2 linked regions of the Callithrix jacchus genome follow. The protein of the gene in region 1 interacts with the protein of each later gene in a pairwise test. Links are inferred from orthologs where the notes say so. Each region holds a gene or a part of one and is shown on either strand. Other genes may lie near its edges.

The links. The genes of interacting proteins can lie anywhere in the genome.
Region 2: the proteins of MAPK3 (region 1) and DCC interact in a two-hybrid assay, tested with the Homo sapiens proteins (2 studies listed by BioGRID). The link is inferred for Callithrix jacchus from reciprocal best matches to the Homo sapiens genes MAPK3 and DCC.

Annotation. Positions count from the first base shown.
Region 1 is NC_133513.1:29,405,128-29,410,022, forward strand, and holds the start of MAPK3 (mitogen-activated protein kinase 3), read left to right. Parts: upstream 1-1,771; 5' UTR 1,772-1,806; coding exon 1,807-1,985; intron 1,986-2,993; coding exon 2,994-3,176; intron 3,177-4,895.
Region 2 is NC_133514.1:95,950,526-95,954,793, reverse strand, and holds part of DCC (netrin receptor DCC), read right to left. Parts: intron 4,250-4,268; coding exon 3,929-4,249; intron 1-3,928. UniProt on the Homo sapiens protein: Receptor for netrin required for axon guidance. Mediates axon attraction of neuronal growth cones in the developing nervous system upon ligand binding. Its association with UNC5 proteins may trigger signaling for axon repulsion.

The DNA of each region.
Region 1 (4,895 bases):
TACATATTTTCTCTCTTCAATAGAGTGGAGGCCTCTACTAGAAGACAGTAGGTAATTTGCCAAGGGTAACACAAGTTAAGTGAGTGGCAAAGACGTGATTCATTTTTTCTTCTTTTTCTTATTCCTCATTCAACTTGAACTTGAAAGATGAGATTCTAGTCCAGGCAATCAGGCTCCAGGGTGTTTTTACTCTTAAGCACAGATTCATACTATCCAGTAATCCTTTATCAGCCCCAGTACCTAGCTCAGAGCTTTGCACACAGGGCCATGCAATGGTTTATCAAATGAATAACTAAAAAAACTCATTGATCTAATTAGCACCTCTTGAACCTTTACTGACCTATGGGCTACTGGGAATCAGAAACTCAGTCTCCTTAATCTGAGTGAGACTGCCTGGCTGTGGATCTAATTATAAGCGATTTCAGAATCATAATTACTGTTCCATTTTGTCTCTTGATCTGTAATGCATCAAGGACCTACTCCCAGCTTCTCAGGGACAAAAAAAAACAACAAAAGAACCCACAACATGATTACTTACTGAAGCCTGGGAGCTGTGTGTTTTTGTAAAGCTTGCAGCTCACATCTTCGATGTGAAAGAGGGGGGTGGACTGGATGGTCTCGGAGGGCCCTTTCTTCAGTTGTAATAGTCTGAGATGGACAGGTGTGATCCCAGAGCTTTGGGAGGCCAAGGTGGGAGGATTCCTTGAAGTCAGAGTTTCAGACCAGCCTGGGCAACATAGCAAGACCCAGTCTCTACCCACCAAAAAAACATATTTTCTTTTCTTTTTTTTTGAGATGGAATCGCCTTGCTTTGTCACCCAGGCTGGAGTGCAGTGGGCGATCTTGGCTCACTGCTGCAACCTCTGCCTCCTGGGTTCAAGCAATTCTCCTGCCTCCACCTACTGAGTAGCTGGGATTACAGGCGCCCACCATCAGGCCCCAATAATTTTTGTATGTTTAGTAGACACGGGTTTCACCACGTTGGCCAGGCCGGTCTGAAACTCCTGACCTCAAGTTATCCGCCCAACTCGGCCTCTCAAAGTGCTGGGATTATAGGCGTGAGCTACCGTGCCGGAACCCCCCAAAATTTTTTAATTAGCAGGGCATGGTGTTGTCCACTCGTAGTCCCGGCTCTTCGGGAGGCTGAGGTTGAAGGATCGCTTGACCCCAATCACTCGAGGCTGCAGTGAGCTATGATTGCACCACTACACTCCAGCCTGGACGACAGAGCGAGACCCTGTCTCTAAAAGAAAAAAACAGTATAGGATTTTGAGAGGCATGGAATTATAAAGAGCCTCTGTGTCAAAAGACATCATTTTGAGTCTCACGTCTGTCATTACTAGGGACCTTACCCAAGTTAGTTAACCCAACTCACAGATTGCCGATCTGTAAAATTTGATTCATTTATTCGAACATTTTTTTGATCTAGGGTGATCCCGGGCCCAGGTTCTGGTGGGCTCCCGCACACATTGGCTGGCTGGCTCTGGGAGGTCACGCGCTGGCCGCTTCATCATCGAGGAGAGGGTGAAGACGATCTCCGAGGCCGCGCTGCTGAGCCTTCCCGTGGCCTGGAGGCCACGGAACCAGCAGGGATCCAAGGCCCGCGCACCTAGGGCTGGAAGGGCAGGCGCGCGCAGGGCGGCTCACGTGACAGCCCCGGGCCCGCCTGGGGTCGGGGGCGCGCGGGGGCGGGGCGGGGGCGGGGCCTGGCGCGCGCGGCCCCGCGGGTGACAGGCGGGCGGGAAGGGGCGGGGCCTCGGGCGGGGCCGCTGAGGGGAGGAGGGCGGCGGGAGGGGAGGAGTGGAGATGGCGGCGGCGGCGGCGGCGGCGGCTCAGGGGGGCGGGGGCGGGGAGCCCCGGAGAGCCGAGGGGGTCGGCCCGGGGGTCCCGGGGGAAGTGGAAATGGTGAAGGGGCAGCCGTTCGACGTGGGCCCGCGCTACACGCAGCTGCAGTACATCGGCGAGGGCGCTTACGGCATGGTCAGGTGAGGGGGCGTTCCGGGGGAGGGGGCGCCCTCGGGGGAGGGGGCTTCGCGGGAGAGGAGGGGGAGGCGCCGAGCGCTTTCCAGGACGTGGAGACGCGGAGCGTCCCGAGGAGGCCGGGGACTCGGGATGATCGGGAGCGTCCCAGGGAGGGGTCCCTGAATGCTTTCTGGGGGAGGGGTCGCTGCTACGTCCTCAGAGGAGGGGGCTTGGAGCTTTGAGTCCAGCACTCCGTAATGACGGGAGGGGCATCTGAGTGCATGTGGGGGACTGCCGGGACCCTAGAGACACGGGGCAAGGCCCAGAGGATGAGTACTCTCGGGGAGGCGACATCCTTAGTGAAGGGGCAGTGGAGGGTCGTTCTGGGGGAAAGGGTGTCTTGGATTCCCTGTGAGGCAGTGCTTGGAAGCCTGGGGGAGAAGAACAGAGATCAGGGTGTGGCAGGGCTTTGGCCCTCCCTTCCCACCACCACCAGGGGCTCAGTGAGGGATGAAGGGGCCAGGAGTGCCACCTGCATGTTTTGGGAGGGGTCTGTGAGTGCCCCCCGCCCCTCCATGTGCTCTGGGACAGCCTGGCTGCCTGGGCCCCTCACTCTGGGACCCTCCCCTGCCCTGTCCATTCCCTGGCTGCTGCTTTCCCACTGTGTTTGCCCCATGGTGTGGTCCCAGCATCTGCACCCCTGGACCTGTCTTGGGTTAAGGAGCCTTTCCTGGGAAGTGGGGTGAAGGGTTCAGGGCCACTAGAATGAAAGGGGATTGAGGAGAGGGGAAGTCAGTGAGTGGTCAGTCTCTTCCTCTGTTTGTAAAGTCACCGCAGGGGCGCCTGGCTGGTCCCCAGCTTTCTCTCTAGAGATCCCAGGCCTCCACAGCAGGAAGGAACCAGCATTGTTTATGAATTGGCCAGAGCCAGCTCCTGCTCCCTCCCCTCCCTGCCAAGGCCTGGGTGGGGCCACCAGGCCTGGACTCCCACTTTGTAAGGCCACAGCAGCAGCCTCTCTCTGGTCCCCTCAGCTCGGCCTATGACCACGTGCGCAAGACTCGAGTGGCCATCAAGAAGATCAGCCCCTTCGAGCATCAGACCTACTGCCAGCGCACGCTCCGGGAGATCCAGATCCTGCTGCGCTTTCGCCATGAGAATGTCATCGGCATCCGAGACATTCTTCGGGCGTCCACCCTGGAAGCCATGAGGGATGTGTATCCTTCACCTTGGCCTTCATGGCCTCCGAGCTGGGCTGGGGAACCATCACTTGCTTTCTGTTTCCATCTTCCCCACCATCCTCCAAAAAAAACCCAGTAAAATAAACTTTCCTGCAGAGGAGAGGCCACAGTGTAACAGGACTTGGAGGCCTCTGATGAATCCAGGCCTGTGGCAGCCGGGCAGTATGGCCTTGAGCAAGTCGGTTCTCTGCTCTGTGCCCCAGGGGGAGAGCTGGGCAGGATGGTCTCTATGGGAGTGTTGTCTTCTGACATCTGCAGTTCTGAGACATGACCCGGCCACAGCCCACAGTCACTTCTTGATAACAAATGGACGATTCTTTTCTCTCTTTTCTCTTTCCCCAGACTGGAAGGGAGACAGGGAGAAAGAAAGCTGTCAGCCGGGTGCAGTGGCTCACGCCTGTAATTCCAGCACTTTGGGAGGCCAAGGCAGGTGGATTACTTGAGGTCAGGAGTTGGAGACCAGCCTGGCCAACATGGTAACATTGTAAAACCCCATCTCTACTAAAAATACAGAAAAAAAAAATATATATAGCCGGGCCAGCTACTCTGGAGGCAGGGGTAGGAGAATCACTTGAACCCAGGAGGTGGACAGTGAGCCAAGATCATGGCATTACATCCCAGACTGGGTGACAGAGCAAGACTCTGTCTCAAAAAAAACAAAAAAACTACCTTTCTTGAGGGCCTATTGTGGGTCAGGTACTATATATGCCCAGTGCTTTATTTATTTATTTTGCTATTACACCTTCCAGCTATCCTATGAGATGGGTTTTTCAGCTCCATTTTTTTTTTTTTTTTTTTTTTGAGACGGAGTTTCACTCTTGTTACCCAGGTTGGAGTGCAATGGCACGATCTCAGCTCACCGCAACCTCTGCCTCCTGGGTTCAAGCAATTCTCCTGCCTCAGCCTCCCGAGTAGCTGGGACTACGGGTGCGCACCACCATGCCCAGCTAATTTTTGTATTTTTAGTAGAGACGGGGTTTCAACATGTTGACCAGGATGGTCTCAATCTCTTGACCTTGTGATCCACCCGCCTTGGCCTCCCAAAGTGCTGGGATTACAGGCATGAGCCACTGCATCCGGCCTTCAGCTCCATTTCAAAGATGAGGGGTGGAGAGCAATGGCTCACGTCTGTAGTCCCAACACTTTGGGAGGCCAAGACTGGAAGATTGCTGGAGACCAGGAGTTCAAGACCAGCCTGGGCAGCATAGTGAGACCCCATCTCTACAGAAAATTTAAAAATTAACCAGGTTTGGTGGTGCACAATTGTAGTCCCAGCTACTTGGGAGGCTGAGGCAGGAGAATGGCTTGAGCTCAGGAGTTAGAGGCTGCAGTGGGCTGTGATTGTGCTACTGTACTCCAGCCTGGGGGACAGAGAATGACCCTGTCTCAAAAAAAAAAAAAAAAATGAGGAAGCTAAGACCCAGAAAACCTAAAATCAAGTGTTTCTCTTGCTGTCTCCTCCTCCCCTCCCCCAGATGGGAAGTTGTCCTTCCTCTAGGACTTCTCACTCCAAGCAGCACCCTAATCACCTGTGGACTTGCACTTTGCCCAGGGAGGAGACAACCTAGCCTTGGTCTCCTCCCCTGATATTGCTTTCCTGGTTTGCTGTCCACTTCCTGGCTGGCTCTTTTGTTAGCAACTTGTGACACCTGTCACCTCTTCCCTGCCACACCCAATCACTCTCGGTCCCAGCAC
Region 2 (4,268 bases), on another chromosome or scaffold:
TTTGCTAGATACACAGCCGAGGGGATGGTAGGAAAGCCTCATAGATGAGTACAGCACTGCTTCCCTTTGTCAGCCATTCTCAATCTAGAGGACTAAATAGAAGTATACATGGCACAGAAATACTGCAGCATTTTAGATTAGAGCTAATTGGATACAAATAAAATGCCCACATTTCAGCTAGTCTGGTGAAGTTGCTTTCAAATGGAGATTTAATAACCTAGGCATTCTTTACAATAGAACTCAAAATGACTAGAAATACTGATAGTCAGTAGCCTGTTACATTGCAACTTTTAACAAAAGGTTGGATGGAATGATAGTTCTTTGTTTATCTTTCCCACTCTCCTTCCCTCTCCAGCCAAGTGTGCACTCCAGGCTTAAAGAGCCCTTGAAAAGCTCCTAGAAGGATAGAATGAATGGTGCATGGCAAGATCACTGCACGAAATGTGCTGACTGATTAAAGACAGATTTCATTTGCTACACTTCTTTTTATCAAAAGACACTTGGAGAAAGCAAAAATGGAAGAGGGACATTATTTAATATGGGCTCTATATAGCACCTGAGAGTACAAAACATTTTTTTTTGTTTTACCCAAGCAAAGCCTACTGTTACCATTTAGTGGTGACTGCTTTATTGACTGCTAATGCTTTAAAAATGAGATTAAATCAGGTCTATGGTCTTTATTACCGGGAAGAGATATGCCCCATGTGAATTCTAGTGGTTTGGCAATCTTAACCTCAGCAGACATAACATTGATGTATTCTGTGTTGCCAAACAGCATGGTAAGTGTTTAAAATGCTGTGAGCAGCCTTATTGCCTTGAAATGATACAATCTAATATGAGATTGTAATTCAGTGACTGAATCCGTGAGCATTTCCTTGTACGGAATGCTAAAGTCCAAACCACTGTATTTTAATATCTCACAGAGAAGGAATTGTTCTTCATTTCACTACTGAAAGACAGAACATGAAAAAGTGAATGTGGATTGTGGGAAGACTGACACTGCAATGTAACAGGCCATTTTCATTAGCAGTGCATAGGCAGCTGCCTTTCGTAATAAGGCATCAAAATGCCAGCCTGCTTCATTCAAATCAGCAGAGCTCCTCTGGCCTTGGGATCAACTGATGGGTGGGATCTATGAGGCCAGAAATTCTCAAGTGACAGAAAGTCAAATTGTCCCCTTTCCACTTCATTTGGAGCATTCTGAGAAAGTGGCTTTTGCCTAATATGCAGCATTTATTCCACTTCTTTCTCTTAATCAATCATAATTAACATCAACATTCAGTTCTCTCTACACTTTATGCTCATCAATCAAATTTCAGACACCCATCACTCAAAGGTTCCAGTTACCGTGTAGCCTTGATTTTCATGATTAGGATGTCACCTGGCCTGTCTCCTGAGTAGAGGGGATTTTCTGCATCTGTACCACAGTCAGTCATTGCCAAAGCAGACACGGGGCACCTCAAGGTAGAGTGACCCACCATCCTAGTTTTACATGGCACTGAGGAGGCTTCCCAGGATATGGGACTGTCAAATGCTAAAACAGGTGAGTCCTGAGAAAATAATAATAGTTAGCCACTCTACCTTAGGTAAAATCTGGTTTAACTGACTATGGAAAACTCTGCCTTCATCAGTTTGGGTGGACACCACAAAGCACTGTGGACTAAGTGACCTGTAAACAACAAACATTGATTTCTCAAAGTTCTGGAGGCTGGAAACTTGAGAGCAGGGTGCCAGTATGACTGATTTCTGATGAGAGTCCTCTTCTGGGTTGCAGATTACAGAATTCTCATTGTATCCTCATGTGGTGAAAAGAGCAAGAGTGTTCTGTGGTTCCTTTTATAAGGGCACTAATCACATTCATGAGGGCTCCACCCTCATGATCTAATTATTTCCCAAAGGCTCCACCTCCCAATACTATCACATTGGGGGTTAGAATTTCAATATACAAATTTTAGGGAGATAAAACATTCAGTCTACAGAATTCTTAGTGGAGACAAGGAGTGGTCTGAAGCTAGATATGGAGGTTAATTGCATATCTATGAGATGTAATTCTTTATAGCACCACTTGACAAAATCACCTCTCTCAGATTTCAACTTTCTCAAACCCTTACTAGGAGTGTATGAGGGAGTGGTGATTCTGCACAATTGTCCTGTTATTGGTGAAAACGAGTTATCATTCTTATCCATCTTCCAAAGTTGAGACTAGACTAAGTAGGATCTGGGGGAAAAACCCAGAACAAATGATTACATTGCTTATGATTCAATTTTGTTTTTACTGAGAACTGAAGATTAGTTGAAAGCAGCCCTGTAAATCTGCTTACCCATTGATAGCTTAAATTGATTTCAGGTTGGATCTGCTTGCCTGGCTTTATGATCAAGTACAAAAATTAAAAAAAAAAAAACAGCTTTTGGTCAAATCATTATAGAAACAAGTAAAAAAACTTTTTCTTCACTATGGTAGGTCTAACATTTCAGGAGCCAACAGAAATAATTATAAGCTTCTTCTAACCAGAAGAATGGGGTAGAAATAGCAATATCATGGATTCCAGAATGGTCAGTACCATTTTGTCAGGGTCTACATGACTTCAGTGTATCCAGATGAAAAGAAAAACTGTTCATCTTATTACTCAGCTGTTGGGCCAACATGTTACTAAACATCAAGAAATTTGGAAGCACTAGAGGGAATTTTATTTCTCACTTGAGATATAGATGTTGTAGGCCTTGCCACTGTAATTAAAATAAAATTCACTGTTCTTAAGACCCAACCAAAAAAAAAAAAATGACTCTACAAAAGTTTAGCATTTAATAAAACTATAAAATAATATTAGGAAATTATTTTTTATATGTTTCTATTAATAATAATTACTTCTGCAGATATAGGTAGTAAGTCAACTTGAAACAGTTTTGCCTTAAAAAAAAAATCTCATAAGTTTATGCTGCCATTTGAGATCCTATGACTGTTTTCTAAGCTAATTTAAGGAAAAAGGTCAGTCAAAACCATGAGAGAATAAACATGAATCTCTTTAAATCTTTCCTTTTTCTTAAAAACATGCATTCTTGATAAAAGTAAAAGTTAGACAGCCATTATGAAAAATGGTTATGTAGCTCTCTCAAAAACTAGAATTAGAATTACCATATGATGCAGCAATCCCACTTACAGGTATATATCCAAAGGAATTGAAATCAGGACATATAAGAGATATCTACACCCCATGTTAATTGCAGCATTATTCATAATAGCCAAGATATGGAATCAAGCATTAATGAGTGAATGGGTGAAGAAAATGTGATATATATTATCACATCTATCTATCTATCTATGCACACACACATACACACACACAATGGAATATTATTCAGCCTTAAAAATGAGTACATCCTGTTATTTGTGATAATACAGATGGACCTAGGGGATACTATGCTAAAGGAAATACACTAGACACTGAAAGAAACATGTTGTATTATCTCACTTACAGGTAGAATCTATTATCAAAAAGTCAAATTCATAGAAGCAGAGAGCCGAATGGTTACCAGAGGCTTGGGAGGATGGGGCGTGGTAGGGAATGGAAAGATGTTTGTTACAGGGTAAAAGGTTTCAGTTAGAGAGGAGAAATAAGCTTTTAATATCCACTGTACAGCATAGTATATATCAAAATTGCTAAAAGAGTAGATTTTAAATGTTCTCACCAAAGAAAAGAGGTATGTGGTGACAGATATGTTAATTAGCTTGATATAATCACTCCATGATGTATACATACATCAAAACATGACATTGTACCTCATAAAAATATATAATTATTGGTCAATTTAAAATGTAAACTATTTTAAAAATGTATATTATTTCTTCAAAAATTATTTTCTTATTTTCAAAAGAGAATAAGAAGAAGAGAGGAGAGAGGAGGAGAAAGAGAAAGAAGAATCCACCTACCTGCTACTGCAACTTTTGCTGTCCGACTAACAATTGACCCAGAATCTCCTAAAGATGCCTCACATTGGTAAAGTCCCTCATCTGGCTTGTGGTGTCTGGAATGAAGTATGTTTTGTATCAACAGAGACCCATTTGAAAGTTGCTGCTTCCTTTCGTCCATTCCCAAGGCTAGATGGATGCCATCTTTTCTCCACTTGATCACTGGAACTCCTCGGTCAGACTCTGCAGAGCAGTCCAGGAGGACGTTTCCTCCTCGCATCGTGATGGCATCAGAAGGTTCTGAGAGGAAGCGCAGTGCTGTGAAAGCTTTAATTTGAAAACCTGGAACAAGAGAGCAAAG